Oryzias latipes: one gene and its partner. The protein of the gene in region 1 interacts with the protein of each later gene in a biochemical or structural test. Links are inferred from orthologs where the notes say so. Each region holds a gene or a part of one and is shown on either strand. Other genes may lie near its edges.

Region 1 (7,515 bases):
CCATAACTGAGGAACTTGTGATCAGGAATGAGGTCCATGCTGTTTGTTAAATGTGGGTATCTTCAAGTACATGAGCTGATGCTATGCCGACTCCTCCCACAGTGGGGTTAAAAGCAGTATTTAGTCTGGGAGTCTGGACATGCTGTGACAGGTTGGCCGCATTGCTGATTACACGCGGCTTGTACACTGCTGTGGCTTATGTGTGTATGAAGGTAGCTCAACACGTGAAAATGAGTGGGTGCGGCTTGTAATGGGTGCGCTCTATAACCCGGAATTTACGGTACTCTTTCTGGTTTGGTCATTGAAAATCTGCTAGAATGATGATGGTAAGCCTGATGCAGCTGCAAAGTTTTAAAATGTTCCAGTTGTAGCTTGCAAAAAGCTATGAAAGTTTGTCCAACATGAGTAAATGACACAGAATGAGGTTTCTTCAAAGCATAGAAGCATTAAAAAATGCTTTTAAAATCAATTGCTTTTACCAGAAAATGTTTAAGGTAATGCATCATCACCAAGTTTGTGCTTGTAGTTCTGATTTAAATGCATTTAATGATTCCTCTGTTGGTTTTCTTCAGTAACTACTTGCCTTTTTTCTTTTACTTCTCTACAAACATTTATAGTTTGCAAATACTGGAAGGTGGTCACTGATGTCAGTCCTCAGCAATCCACTTTTTATTCTGTTTTCTAGGCAGTTTGTGAATATATTGTCTATAAATGTCGCTCTATTTGTTGTTATTTTGCTCGGTTTGTTGATTAATGGATAGAAGCTTAAACTGTACATTTTATGAGTAAAATCTTCTGTTGTGATGTGATTGTTTTGTTTCAACAAATCCATATCAAAATTGCCACAAAGAAATATTACGTTTTTGGAGATATTAGCCAACATGTTTTCAATGGTACTTGTAAAAGTTTCAATGTTTGATGCAGGGGTTCGATACACGCCACTGACGTTACTCTGTTCCTCCATACTGATCTCTACAGATTCCATGACATCATCAATACAGCCAGACATCATTTCCACAACTTTGTGTTTAAGACTGTTGTGTATATAAAGAGCCACCCCCCCGCCTTGCTTATTTTTCCTGTTCCTGTTCACAAAGTGAAAATCATAGCTCTCAAGCTAGAAGTGCAAGTCCTTTATACACGGCTGAAATTGTTTGATTTATGTTCTTAATGCTGGAGAGTTAAACCTATTATTAAAAATAGATTCATATTTTAAAGTCTTTTGTATTTTTAATCAAATCGTTTTGTTTTTTTAATGGATAAAGTTGTGGTTGACGATTGAGGTAATTACTTTTAGGTACTTCTGACTGTAAGCTAACTCAAGCAGGAGATGATCTGCTTGGCATTTCACTGAGTTTTGTCTTTTTGTCATGGGCTGTTCCTTCTGTGTTTTCTCTTTTAGGTACCAGTTATTCACCACAAGAAAACTCTCACAACCATACTTCCCTTTATAGCTCCAACTCGGTTTCAAATCCAAACAAGACCTCAGACGCAGTAAGTGCTCCCCTCTGCTTTAGACAATGTGGACCAATGACTTGCTAAACATTGCTCACCTGGTCCTTAGTGACTGTTGCACCAAGATTTGAATATTTTATGCTGTCTTAATCTTTTGGTTAATTTTTTTTTTAATTCATTCCGTTAAAATAATTGGTGGTCATTCCTTCCTTTCAGTTTATTCTTCAGCTGTGTTCACACCGACTGCGATTCACGCGTTAGGGGCATCCAATTTTTAATCTTAAACTAATGTACGGACGTGGTCAGAGGTCCTGCAGCGCAATTAGGCGTGTGGCATCTACATGATTTGGGCGTTGCATCGAGAGTTCAAATACTTTGGCAAAAAAGACGCCTCGCATCAACCAATTAGGGACTCAGCTTTTGCCCATGACTTCTTGATGATGTCATCAGGGGGTGAAGTACAAAACCAACATGAAGGGGAATCGAATTGTTCTCCTCCTGAGCTTCATATTTTTTTCCATACTTTTATTTTCTAATTCTCTTATTCTTATTTTTCTTTTTTCCTTACTCGGACTAATGTGAGGCAGCAATTCGTCACACTGGGTCACCGAGAGACAGAAGTACCGCTGAAAGCGCCGTCTTTCAGACGACGCTCCTTCAGTAGATGGGGGGAAGCTCATGTACTGGGAGAATCTGAATGACCTAATGGAGACATGATTACCAATGTTTTTTTATCTGGAAAATAAATGAACCTGATCCCAACATCATCCGTGTCTTCCATGCACTCTAAATGGGATATAGAGACATGTATATCCCATTCACGTAGCGATGAAGTTAAAAACTTTGGAGAGTAGCTCCTCCCACATGCGTCTGGAGCATCACGTTCATGAACACAGTTTTTGGCAAGGGTCCAGTGGCAAATTTGTCACTCATCAAAAGAAATGCGCCTGACACAGATTTGACACATGAATCACCTTCGGTGTGAATGTAGCGTCATACTAATGACAACATAAAAATGCTTCAGTTTTAAAATGTTAAATGTAGATGTAAAGTAAATTCACACTGACGATGAAGGGTTAAAGGGGACTTTTCTGTCATAGGAGAGCTAATTCTCCCCTTCTGCTTCCATCCCATCCTCCTTTGCATTTTAGAACAGATTGCCGGCTATTGCATCAGACCTCTACCAAAACACCTGTCTGTCTGACAGGAAGCCATTTGTTTCTAAGTTTGTGTTCTTCTACTCAGCCTTTCGAGCCTGCTGATGACTGGTCAGAGCACATCAGTTCCTCTGGAAAGAAATATTATTACAACTGTAGGACAGAAGTTTCCCAGTGGGAGAAGCCCAAGGAATGGCTTGAGAGGTAGTTTTATGGTTTTTTTTCCACTAATGAAACAGTATTTGGCTTTGCACACTAAAGTACATTTGCACAAGTGTTGTTAAGCACAGATCTCTAACAGTGTTGTTGTATTTGCCGCTTAGAGAACAAAGGCAAAAAGAGGCAACAAAGACTGCTGTTGTCAACAATTTCCCAAAGGACAGGGACTACAGAAGGGAGGCTATGCAAGCAACAGCAGCCCCTGGCTTTACTGGTCCTAGTAAGTGTTGCACAGATCTTTTCTGACTCATCTCACTAAATCACACTTACTTTGTTTTATTGGTCAGACTGTTAATTATGTTTTAACCTAGCAGCTAGTATGGCTAATGCTTAGCAGATAAAACATTTTGTCAGGCATGTCAAATGTTTTGATCATATTACAGGTCTTCGGTGTAAAGAGCATTCTACTCATCACTGAATAACAAAGTTGTAGATTATTTCTCACAGGTCACTGGATATTATTTAGCTGTCAAGTTGTGTGGTGCCTCTGGTGCTTATAGGTCTATAAATCAATTACCTGATTTAAAGCACCTGTTAATATGGGCTGATTGCAAATCTCTTCCAGAAAACAAGAAATTAAAAACTAGTGATCCTTGGGGTTTACGGTTCAGCCATGATCTGTCGCACCCCTACCTTACAACTAGGTTTTATCTGATGGAATTGCACTGAAATTACTTATATACAGTAATCCCTCATTTTGGTGCAGGAGCTGCGTTCTAAAAATAACTTATAATAGACAAAATCTAATATTTGTGCAATGATTTAAGGCTAAATCCCCTCACTACACACTATACACTTTTCTCAGTCAGACATGAACATTTTTACACTTTTCTCTCGTTTAAACTCTCAAAGTTCAAACCTTCATAGGAAAAATAAGTTCAGGATTGTAGAATGAGACCAAAGATCTGCTGAAGGCTTTCTATACAAGAGAAACGGCACAGAGATTGACTGTGAATGCCTTACAACCAATCAGGACACGAAACATAATGTAAAAAAAAAAGCAAAAGGCATGCAAAATTGCACTTAAATGTTAAGACAGCAAAAGATCGACAGCGATATTGAGGGACCACTATACTTCACAGACGACCTCACAAATAAAAAAGTTTTTTTTGTTTTGGTAAATTATTTTGACAAAATGCAAGTGTGAGCTAATATATTATATTCTTTTGTGACTGATATGTTTAAGTGATTTTATTAGAACTGAAACTGGCAGATTACAGTTAACATAGTTTTAGCTCTTTGTTGGGCTAGAAAAACGTATCAGTAGTGAATGTTTCAGATCCAAAACCATCTGATCACACCAACAAACCTGCCAACTCCAGTCTCAACAAAATTAGGAGAATAGATGCTTTTAGCTCCTCTTTTCCAATGTTGGTTACATTGAAGTCATCATAGTACTACTTTTTAGCCTCTGGTACCTCTAGTTGTTATTGAGTAGGTACTAGTATGTAGTACATTTAGCATTTTCCAGGTGTTTTTATCAACAGGTGAAATGAAGCACTTCTACTTAAAACAAATTGGTACTGCAGCTACGTTTGTCTTTTCATTTTAATCCTTTTGTCTGCTCTTTATATGTTCTGAAATTCTGAATTTCAGTACATTTTATGTTTTTGTTTATTTATTTTCTACTAAGGATTGTAATTTCTCCCACCTAGACTCTCTGCAGTTAAAGAATTTAAATTCAGAAAACTGCTTAGCTAATACATGTTGGTAATTTTCCGGAGATTTCGCATTTGATCTCAGTCTCTATTGTAAAACTCATTCATTGTGTTATGATCTGAGAATCCACATGATGTGGGTGCTGGTTTGTCTGTGTAGGTTGTAGCAGGAGAGATTACCGGTTACATGCAGGGTTAGTGGTGTGTGGACACTGAGCGCCAGGTTGCATAATGATTTCTTGTCGTATAAATGAAAAGAGCTGTGACAGTGTGGGATTTTTTATTTTTGATACCTATCTAACTAATGAACTAACCATATGGGTGCTGTAGAATGACTATGCGTGTCTGTGTCAGCGTGCTGCGTGTGGAGGAAGGACCGCGTACAAGTGTGTTGGGGGGTGCGTGTTGATTCTTCTGCAGCGGAGTGCTCTGGAGCTGCATGCGAGGCTTCACCTGTGCTCTCTGGTACAGACATCTTCTCAGAATATTATATATTGCCCAGTAATAAACGAGACTGCAGACACTTTGTCACCTTTCCGGTAGCCATGAAGCCTGACATCCATGAAGAACGCAGGGCAGGAGGCTAGGGTTTTGTTTATACAGACACGAAACGTTGTGCTGCACAAAATAGTTCCCAAACAAAACATGTAGTGATATTCATCGAAATTTAACAGTTCGTGTTTGGTATTACAGAGTGAAGGAGAACAGGAATAATCCCCCAACCCCCCCAACACAAAGTCCTCCGGTGGGCGGCCGTGTCGCGCACTTAAGAAAGCGCTCAGCTTGTAATGGAAATGCATAATTAGAACGCAGTAAATTTGTCATATTTCCTCAAGAGACGGAAACTTCTGTTGTAGAATGAGGATGTGTATGTGCTTCTGAAACCGCGTGTTTTGTGTAAGTAGAGTGAGCCGCGTCCTGCGCCACTCACCTCTTGCGCTGCACGTGGCTCTAAGAGGGAGTGAGAGGCGCGGCGCAGGGAGTGAAGGAGAACATTAATAAAAGGTTTCCCCCAGAAACCCTTAAAGTCTGAGCACAGGACTAGCAGAAAAAGTAAATTATCAGCAAAGATGAATGTGTTTAGTGTGTTTATTATAGTTCCAATCACGGACCATATTCAGAACCTTCACACAAAAAAACTATCAAAAAAAAAAAAGGTGATGAGGTCATCACTCCGGTGATGCGGTTATCATCACGCCCCTATAAATGAATCATCCAACACTGAGGAAGACTTCCATGGTTTCAGTGCACAGGAGGAAGATGAAGAAAGCTCTGTGACGTTTACGTTCATTTTTTTTAAACCAGCCCTGTTGGCGCTGTGTTACGGTGTGTCACTGTTGTGGAAGAAAACTTCCAGCCCCCTCCTTCGCAGCGCTTGCCTCTGTGTTACTGCTGCTCTCAGTGACTTTTACCGGTATGTTTTTTTAACCAGCCCTGTCACTACCATATTGCTGCCGTGTCACAGGCACTGTTTGGAAAGAAAAGCTCAGGTATATTATTACAACTTTGAAAACTCCTTCTGTGTACCTTCTTTATTTGTAAATATATTACATGTTGAACCTTTCCTGCGATTACTTTTTTCTTTCTTTCTTTCTTTTCCTTTCTTTCTTTCTTTGCATTGGGTCCCATTTTTAAAACATTTGCTGTGACTCGGCCGTGGATTTGAACTTATGGCCTTCCAGTTTCAGGGGGACACTCTACTCCAAGGCTGAGCTGTCAAAAGGAAAATAAATGTTGTCCATAGCTGCTTAATTTCTTTTTTCTTTGCTTGTATTTTGCATTTGAAACCCATTTGAAATGGCATTTTGAATGTTAGACAGTCTTTCACAGACATCTGATGCATCCCTTTTGATGACAATGATATGAAAATCCTTTGCTGCATTTCACTCATGAATACCGGTACACACGTTTGGGCAATGTGAAAAGTTTAGACAAAGCAGTTTAAGGAAAACGCCCCGACTCGTTGATCTGCTTAATTAACTTGACAATCATAGTTTTTATTTGAATCTTTATTGGTGGCTCCAACAGAGCCCAGCAGCTCATCCAGGTCACAACACACCTTCACCGGGTCGTGCTGTGGAGTCGACTCAAGACTCTTGTTGCTGGGTGTTTTTCACATTAGGACACTGTGTTGTGTTTAATAGACAGTAATTTTCTTTAAAAAAAATACTCCCCGTCACAAGGCCAGGTTTTATTTGTTGCTTTTGTGATGACATTTACTTTCTGCTGCTCATGTTTAACACTAAGTTAGCATTTAAAGAGCCACTTTGATAAACAGTTGTGTTTTTGGTGTTTTTAACATGTTCTCGTGGCATTTGTCTGATGGAGGGCTTGTATAAAAAAAAAGCCTAAATTAAATTTTTGTGCATTTCTCCATCAAATTGTTGTGAATCAGGAGCAAATGTAAAAGTGCAGTTAGAAAAAGAGCGGATTTTTATGTCAACGAGCTTCATTCTTCGCTCCATCCTGATGCATCCATTGGTAAACAAATAGATCCATGAATGTCTTTGTTTTCCTCGTCTGAGCTGGAATCTGGATCAAAACTGTACGAATGGATAGCTTTGATGTTTCTCTCCACTTTTGTAGCACCGCTTTTGTTAGGTTAGTGGTTTGAAGGGCTGTAAGCTAGCATGAGAGAGAGTAAACAGTAATGGGGGGGGGGGGGGGGGTCCATGACAACAGTCCCACCCACAACTCGCATTACAACTTCTGCCCCTCTGCAGAAACTATGTCCTATAAAATGACAAGGTTTTTGTTTTTTTTGGCTGAAAACAGTATACCATAATCATACCACCAAAGACTGCCATCTACTTTAAAATAAATCAAAAGATGAGCATAGTGGGATTTTCCAAAGTGTACCTTTTTCTTTCAATATTCATAATTTTCACTGTGTAATTTTGATGTTTGCTTTTACAGCCTGAGTTTTACAGTTACCTTTCAAGCTTGTATTTTATTTAGATCTTTTTAGTAAAACTTCTTCAGATAAATTCTGCATCAGCTTCTCTATCTTCTACTTGGTTAAAGCC
Region 2 (7,614 bases), on another chromosome or scaffold:
CTATTTTTTGGAGTACAAGTCAGTGTTTTTGCAGTTTGGCCAGGGGTGCTACTTTCAGACAAGTTTAAAAAAAATAAATAGCAAGAACCACTAGAGGACACTGTGGGTGTCTGTATCAGTATTTGCTGCTGACAGCAATGCAGAAAAGGAAGCACTGTTCCAAAGTGACATGATAGCATGATAGCATGATCTTAATGGTTATCTGAATTATTGTTTATATATTATGCTAATATACAGGGATCCTCCTATGTTTCATGCAGCTAAATAAGCCTCAATGTATAATGGTAGAGAAGGGTGCGTTTTTTTGTGTCTATTATCGGAATCAATCCCGTTTTAGCAGATTTATTTTACGTATAAGAAGGGAAAAACATCATACATGAAATATTTTTAGGTTTCTTTGAGAGGGACATTATTTTTCCTGCATATGAAACTGTTTTTCAAATGCACACTAAAGACAAATCCTAAAGCTGACAAACAGCTGCACATTTAGGATGCTTTTATGCTCCTCCACTCACTGATACAGCACTTTGATTTTTTTCCTCTGTTAATATCTCATGCGGTTATGCAGACACGCCGTCTGGGCAGTCTCACAGAGAGTCGGTTACCTCTGACTTAGTTTTCTTCTCTGCAGCCATGAGCTGAACTTTATCCCTCTGCTCCTTGGGGGCTGAGCGATACATGTCCAGCAGCAGCTTCATCTCCCTCTGGGACTCCTGAGCCTTCCTACAAGACAGGATGATGTGATAATAATAAGAATAAATCATCACAATATGAATAGATAAGGTTTCCATACACCATCTACAATAAAAAAAGCTTCTATGAGAAATAGTTTTCCATTTTCAAATTTCTCACATACTTCAGCTCTGCTCGGATAATCTTCAGCTGCTCCATTTCCTTCCTCTTGGAGCCCCCAGTCATAGAAATCCGCTCCGCCGCAGACTCCTCCGGCTGGCTGCTGCCTCCTGGCTTCTCCTCTTTGATCACATTACTGCTCCCGCTGCTGCGGGTGGGTCTCTCTCTCTCTTTTTCCTTCTCCTTCTCCCGCTCCCTCTCTTTCTCCTCTTTCTTGATAAAGTCCTTCTCTCTCTTTTCGTCTTTCTCTCTCTTCTCATCCTTTTCTTCTTCCTTTACGTTGGCATCTGCCTCAACACCAGACTCTGTTTTCACTGAGGCACCTGCGGGAAAAGAAAAGCTAGCTATAGAAAAAATATTATATTGATGTAGTTAAAGAAACAATAAGAATGGTAGATACCAGTGCTGCTGGGTGTGGAGGAACCATTATCTGGCTCCGTCTTGACCGCAGGTTCCCCAGAAACTGTGGTGATTGATGGAGAGGTGGTCTCGTCTTTCACGTCCATCTCTGTGCTCGACTGCGACTGAAGGATGCTGCTTCCCTTTGAGGCACAGACCTACATGAAAATTCAGGCGTCTTTAGGAGGATTTTGGGGTCGATGGCAAAGATCCTGCGAGTTTCATTTGACCCGCAGGTGATAGATACTACAAGGTCAGAGCCAGTTTTGACCTCGGTGTGACTTACCTTGTTGAGCTCAGCTTGTGTCTCCCTCAGTCTCAACTTGTATTTCACAACTTCCCCCTTCAGCTGCTGGTTGTGGGTTTGCAGTGTGCTAATAAGATGTCGCATCTCTCTGTTGATTGGACCTTGATAAAGAAGGTTGAAGGGATTTAAAGTTAGAAAATTGTAATCTAATTTCATATTTTAACTGAGCGTATACATATTAGAAGCCAAACCTGTTACCTGCTTGCTCGTTGGCAGCAAGAGTCTGCTCAAACTCGATCCGTAACATCTCATACTCCTTCTTCACCTGAGCCAGCGTGTCCTCCAGCTGGAACACTTCTGTCCGAACCTTCCTCTGCAGAGCCACCTCATCGTTCTGCACTCAGAGGGGGCAAGAATGGGTAAAACGGGCAAAAAAAAACAAAGGTCTCAGTACATGAACGGTGGCTGAACAAACCTCCATGTGCTCCAGCTGTCGAAGCCGTGCGGTCCGGGTGGTGTTGAGGCGAGCCCGTGTCTCATCTAACTGAGACTTTAGAGTCAGCGACTCGTTGTAGAGAACAGAAAACTGCGACTGCAGACAGCGATACTCTGATGTGTCTTTAACTAAACCCTCAGCTCGACTTAGAATCTCAGCCTGAAATGAGGGGAAAGAAAGAGGTTTGGAACAGCAGTTTGAAAGTATACATCAATTTTTTGTTTCCTAATTCGGGTGCTATGATACCGTCACATTGTTGTTTTCTTGTTGAACATTTTGCAGGTCCTGCTGGAGCTTCTGCAGCTCTATGAGGCGATTCTCTGCCAGTTCTCTGTTCTCCTCCAATTCGCTGTTCATTTCCTCAAACTGTCAAAAACATATAACAAGTGAGGCAGAAAGACACAGAAGAAAAACAACAATACACTTCTGACCAAAACCTTAAGACCAGTAAAAATGCAAGAATTTGCAAGAAGGCTCTAAATAGAGCTTCAAAACGCAAAAAGAAGAAAGAGGAGCAAGAGAACAAATATTTTAGCTGCCAATTTATTAGACATAACAATTTAAATGAAAAGGACTGTTCATCCTTTAAGACCACAGCCTTAAAAGCTAGAATCTGCACCCAAATTCAATTGTAATTTTTAATAAGTAATCATCCTGTCAAGGTCTCTTGATAGCAAAAGGCAAAAAATCCCAATTTCTTTGAACATGGAAGGATTGTTAAGCTGCAAAAGATGGACCTCCCACAACATGCTATCGCTGCAGAGGTTGACCCAAAGGACATTAAGCGGCACTGGGCCGGAGGATCCAAAGGGCTGTCTACCAAGACACGGGATCTAAGATTTTGATCAGGAGTGTGTTATTAGCTGCCAAATTTTACATTAAAAAGCAAACCTTTTACCTTTCTCTTGTTAATAGTTATGGTTCCACATACACTGCTGGCCTCTCCACACACTTTGTAGCCTTTGCTGTTTACCTGAGACAGAAGTAATGTTAGAAAAGACACAAATAGTATAAAATCATGTAAGTTGTCAAGTTTCAGCTTTCCTACCCTCTCCAGGATTTCACTCAGGTGAGCGTTTAGTCTATTCTCTCTGCGGCGGATCTTCTCCATGTCCCACTGCAGCTCCTCGATCCGGGCTTGAAGTTCTGTGACTCGCTGGTCTGCCTTGTTCGTAGCACGACCCAAAGCCCGAGACTGGGGAGGACAGATAAGAATAAGGATTTTTTTTCATGACTTGCAGAAAGTGTACTTAAAATTTTATGAACCTCCTACAGAAATTCTCTAATAACAAACTAAAGGCTCTTTACCTCGCTCGTCATGTGACTGTGTCTCTGCTTCAGATCCTCTGTCAGCTGCTGAAGCCGTTCGTTTTCACTCGTCAGCAGGACGTTCAGCTTGGAGACCACCTGCCAAAAACTACCCTCTGAAAGAATATTAAAAATATGTAAGCTATCTTTATTGTGTTCAAATCTGACTCCAATACAGAACAATGTTCCCGTGTTCCTCCACAGAAAACCTCACCAGTGCCTGAATCCAACTCTGTCTGAAGCTGGTCCACAGTGCTCTTCAGATTCTCATAAACGTCCACCACGCGTTGGGCCTGCTTCTGGCTTGACTCCACCCTCTCCTGGAGCTCCGCCTCCATCTCCTCACTGGTGCTGCTGGCCAGTGTGGCCAAGAAGGAATTGGAGGTCTCTCCCTGATGGGCTGCATGACAAATTTAGGAAGCAAAGTTAATATTTTGTGTTTCTATTAAGTAAAACGAGGCCTAATAGTTTCTGTTCAAATAGAGGACAGTCCTTACTTCTGTCTTTAGCTCTTTCCTGGTTCGAGTCACCATCGGGTTCAGGAGTTTCAGGCTTCAAGCTTCTTCCCTCGCCTGTTGGAGATTTCTCAGGCTCACTGCTTCCTTGATCATATCGCCTGATGATCAGTCGAACGTTTTCGTCAAACTGAAAGATAATTTACGGTGTTCCATTGTTACGGGTTCTGAGAGAAAATCCAGCAGACTGTGGTTTTGTTTTGAGGATACATACCTGGTTCCAGTATCTGTTAAGGATCAACAGACTAGCATCATCGGTAGCCTGACGGGTCTCCAGTCTTTCAATCCGCTCCCGCAGCTCATCTTCAATCACCTGCAGAAAAATAAACCAAGCTTCATTACATGTTCAAAAAGATCAGGGCTTCGATGTATGCAAAAGGCTGAGATTGCTAAAAGAAAAAATGAATAAACCTGTCTTTGATCGAGAGCTTCTCCCAGCTTTCGGTTTTTGGCTTGAAGAGCTTTGATGTCCTGTTCCTCCTGAAAAATAAAAGTATAATATTATATATAGCTATTCATACAAAAAAATCCATGTTTTGAGATGAGATCGTTTAAGATATTGGTGAAGATTGAAAAGGTCTTACAGAGTTTGACACTCCTCCCAGTTTGATGACCGTTTCCACAGCGGTGCTCCCCCCAGCAGCGCTACTGACGCCGGCACCTCCCTCCTCTCCTTCCTTCTCCCGACGCTTCTCCGGTGGGCCACCGGAGGACGATGGCCCACCGGAGTCTGCAGGACGCTTCTGTCCCGACATCCTCGGATTCTGAAACAAAGAAAACATACAGAACTTAAGCAGGAATTCGGATTGACCAAGAAAATGAATTCGATGATAAAATACACGATCAGTCTGAACCCAAAAACAAGAGAAACCAAGGAAATTCATAGCTCAAATCGTCTGTCTGGAGGAATATGGTTATGCTAGCGTTAGCCAAGCGCCAACTTTAGCTAGCGATTTTATCTATATTACATTGGGAACCGATAAATGAAACGGACAGATGTGTCATGTTTTGAAACGTTGACCCACACTTAAATCTTACCAATTTCAACCGTTATGTGTAAAAAAACAGAACCCGCCCGTCTGAGGTTGTTGATATTGCGGCTCCGTGGCCCAAGGAAACGGAAGTGGTGTTCACTTACGAATAACACTTTTTCGGCGGAGACTGCGCCCCCTGCTGTCGTGGAGGAGGTATTAGCAGTTAGGGGACTTTTAGTTCTGGTCACTTGTTTGTTATAGGTGTTGGGCTTGAAAACAGTGCATCTACTGCACAGAAAAAACAGCTTTCCCTTTTTTTATATCTTCCACTGCAGGAACGTATCATTTTTTGTGCCTGAGAGTAGCCAAAAAGTTGTCCTTAAGTAAGAGGAGCATTATGTCAAAGAAATACCTATAGAAAAATATTTCCTCTGGCAACATAAGAGTAAATAATTGGGACCAATAGAACTACATAACCAATGAGTGTATTTGACCCCACCCCCAGCTAAATATAAATACATAATAAATAAAGTTAAAGTTGAAGAAGTCAAATACTTACCTCTTTGAAGTATTTTTCTTAAAGGAAAAATTCGACTACCTTTAGAAGCTCTAGAATTATTTATGTGCAGATCCTTTTCCCAAAACAATGTGAAAAAAAACATATTTCCTGTTTTCACACATTGTAAGAACCATATTATGAGCTTTAAATTTAAATAAGAATTGTTCTATGTTTTTTTAATTTCTACTTACTAATTTCTCTACACACAGTAATAAGATAAGGTGCAAACAGTGAAGTACCAAAAGACACATAGAGCGAGTTAGGTGTGTTCACAAGCAGTATTTGAGAGGAAGTATTTGCTAAAGAGATAAAAGATATCAAGATATTCTTGTTAGTAAAAGGGTATAGTTCCTTTAGATAACAGTTTTCATCCTCAATTATATACAGTACTTCCACAACATGGGAGTTTGGTTGACCTTACACGTCTCACTGTTTCTGTGATGTTTTGGAATTCATAGAAAAGTAATCGTATCTATTATGCTATGACAATTCTTCTCATATTTTGATATTTTATTGACTGCCAAAGTTAGATTAGTCTTCTCCCTAAAAATTCAAAACAAAATAAGATTAAAAAAAATTCTAGTGGGTTTAAGTAATGATTGTAATCGCATTTTCATTTAAATCTGAAAACACAAGTCAACACAAGAAGGATACTCATCTAAATATAATACCAAACAACAATTAGCTGAGATAACTGAAAAGAAATACTTTTCAGTAAAGTATAACTGTTCACCTTTTATATCTACAGAGAGGAACAGAATTGAATCAAGCTTTATTTTTTTTAGCACGCCAGTCAAAATAACAAAGGCTCTTCACCATGTGGAAGGTTCTCCCTCAAAAGTGAGGCTTAATTAACTTTTTTCCTCCTATTCTTAATAAGTAAAATGTATGAGGGAAAATCGTTAAGAAAAAATGTTACATATTGTATTTCTGCTATACTTTTAATTGTTTATATTTTTATTGTTTTGCCTGGGATTGCCTTACATGCTTTTCTCTTGCCTATATTTTGTTCAAGCGGTTGCAATTCCAATTATGCTTCATAAATAAACAATGATCATGAATGTAACTGGAATGTAGCTTATCATTTCAACTTATGACCTTATAACCCTAACTTATATGAAGTGCCAAGAGATCACTTTATTTGTGAACAGGCTCTTAAAGTGAGCTAAAACCTTAATAGGAAATTTACCCATGCAGCAGCTGTTTGGAGAATAACACAAGTCTTGTGTGCAATTATTAACAAAATCTATATGAATCTATGTGTTTAATATCAAAGTTTTGATGAATCTCACTACAATTTTGATTAGCAGACCCTCTTATTTCCTAAAAATAGAGTAAAGTCCACAGTGTTTCCACATGACAAACCAGAGGATCACATGATTATTCTGGGTTGGTTTTTACCTCGAGGTCACAAATTCCTAATTTATCAAAAGATTTGGGGTTTTAGCTGGTAGTTTTCCATCAGAAATGAAACATAAACATGTATTCACTCAACTACTACCATAAGGATGTTACTAATAAATCTTTATTAAATGTACTCTCACTAAGTTACTGGGTAGAACTGATTGGGTGACAAAATCTCTTGCCTCTACGCTTGTGCAAAAAAAGTATTTTTTTTAAATGAAAAGCTCTTGAACTCATTAAAACTAACCTCTGCTTATCTGTAGTGTTAAAGGAACATTGCACAGGGAGCAGAGTCCAAGTTGTGTAAAAACTAGCAGGCCATTATTTTCGTGTTGCAGATGCAACCCGACATGTAAGCTCAAAGATCTTTTTGTCGAAATCAGTTGTCGTAGAAAGGCAGTTTTGGAAAACTTCAATTTGGAGCAATCTGGTCACACATGACACAACTGAATTGCACAAAAGTGAGCAAAACGGATGCAGGTTTTGATGACAGAAAACACAAGGATAAACACAAGGATAAACATGGTGTATGGCTGATTTGCACAGTGAAATAAAACACATGCTTTTAAAGGTTGCTGGTTTGTTGCAACTGGCAGTGTTGTTAACGATGCGGCCCAGGAAATTCAGAAAGAATTTATAAATTGTTTCCTTAAATAAAGAATTTGTGGCCATGAATATGTGTTTTGTGTTTACAAAATTAACATTTAGTGGCCACTAAATTGTGCTAAAATGAGCAAACAAAATGCTAACGAAATGCTAATGTGTGCCCACAAAATACAAATTTGTCCACACAAAATACAAATTTGTGCACACAAAATTTTCATTTAGACCATGAAACACGAGTTTGCGCGCACAGCATG

What was found.
Region 2: the proteins of wac (region 1) and rnf20 form a complex in vitro, tested with the Homo sapiens proteins (2 studies listed by BioGRID). The link is inferred for Oryzias latipes from reciprocal best matches to the Homo sapiens genes WAC and RNF20.

Annotation. Positions count from the first base shown.
Region 1 is NC_019878.2:7,926,753-7,934,267, reverse strand, and holds part of wac (WW domain-containing adapter protein with coiled-coil), read left to right. Parts: intron 1-1,402; coding exon 1,403-1,494; intron 1,495-2,700; coding exon 2,701-2,816; intron 2,817-2,935; coding exon 2,936-3,051; intron 3,052-7,515.
Region 2 is NC_019868.2:15,969,585-15,977,198, forward strand, and holds the start of rnf20 (E3 ubiquitin-protein ligase BRE1A), read right to left. Parts: upstream 4,965-7,614; 5' UTR 4,856-4,964; intron 4,582-4,855; 5' UTR 4,573-4,581; coding exon 4,402-4,572; intron 4,298-4,401; coding exon 4,229-4,297; intron 4,131-4,228; coding exon 4,032-4,130; intron 3,948-4,031; coding exon 3,800-3,947; intron 3,703-3,799; coding exon 3,517-3,702; intron 3,419-3,516; coding exon 3,303-3,418; intron 3,190-3,302; coding exon 3,043-3,189; intron 2,968-3,042; coding exon 2,893-2,967; intron 2,361-2,892; coding exon 2,241-2,360; intron 2,154-2,240; coding exon 1,974-2,153; intron 1,893-1,973; coding exon 1,757-1,892; intron 1,660-1,756; coding exon 1,538-1,659; intron 1,410-1,537; coding exon 1,253-1,409; intron 1,176-1,252; coding exon 857-1,175; intron 724-856; coding exon 606-723; intron 1-605. UniProt on the Homo sapiens protein: Component of the RNF20/40 E3 ubiquitin-protein ligase complex that mediates monoubiquitination of 'Lys-120' of histone H2B (H2BK120ub1).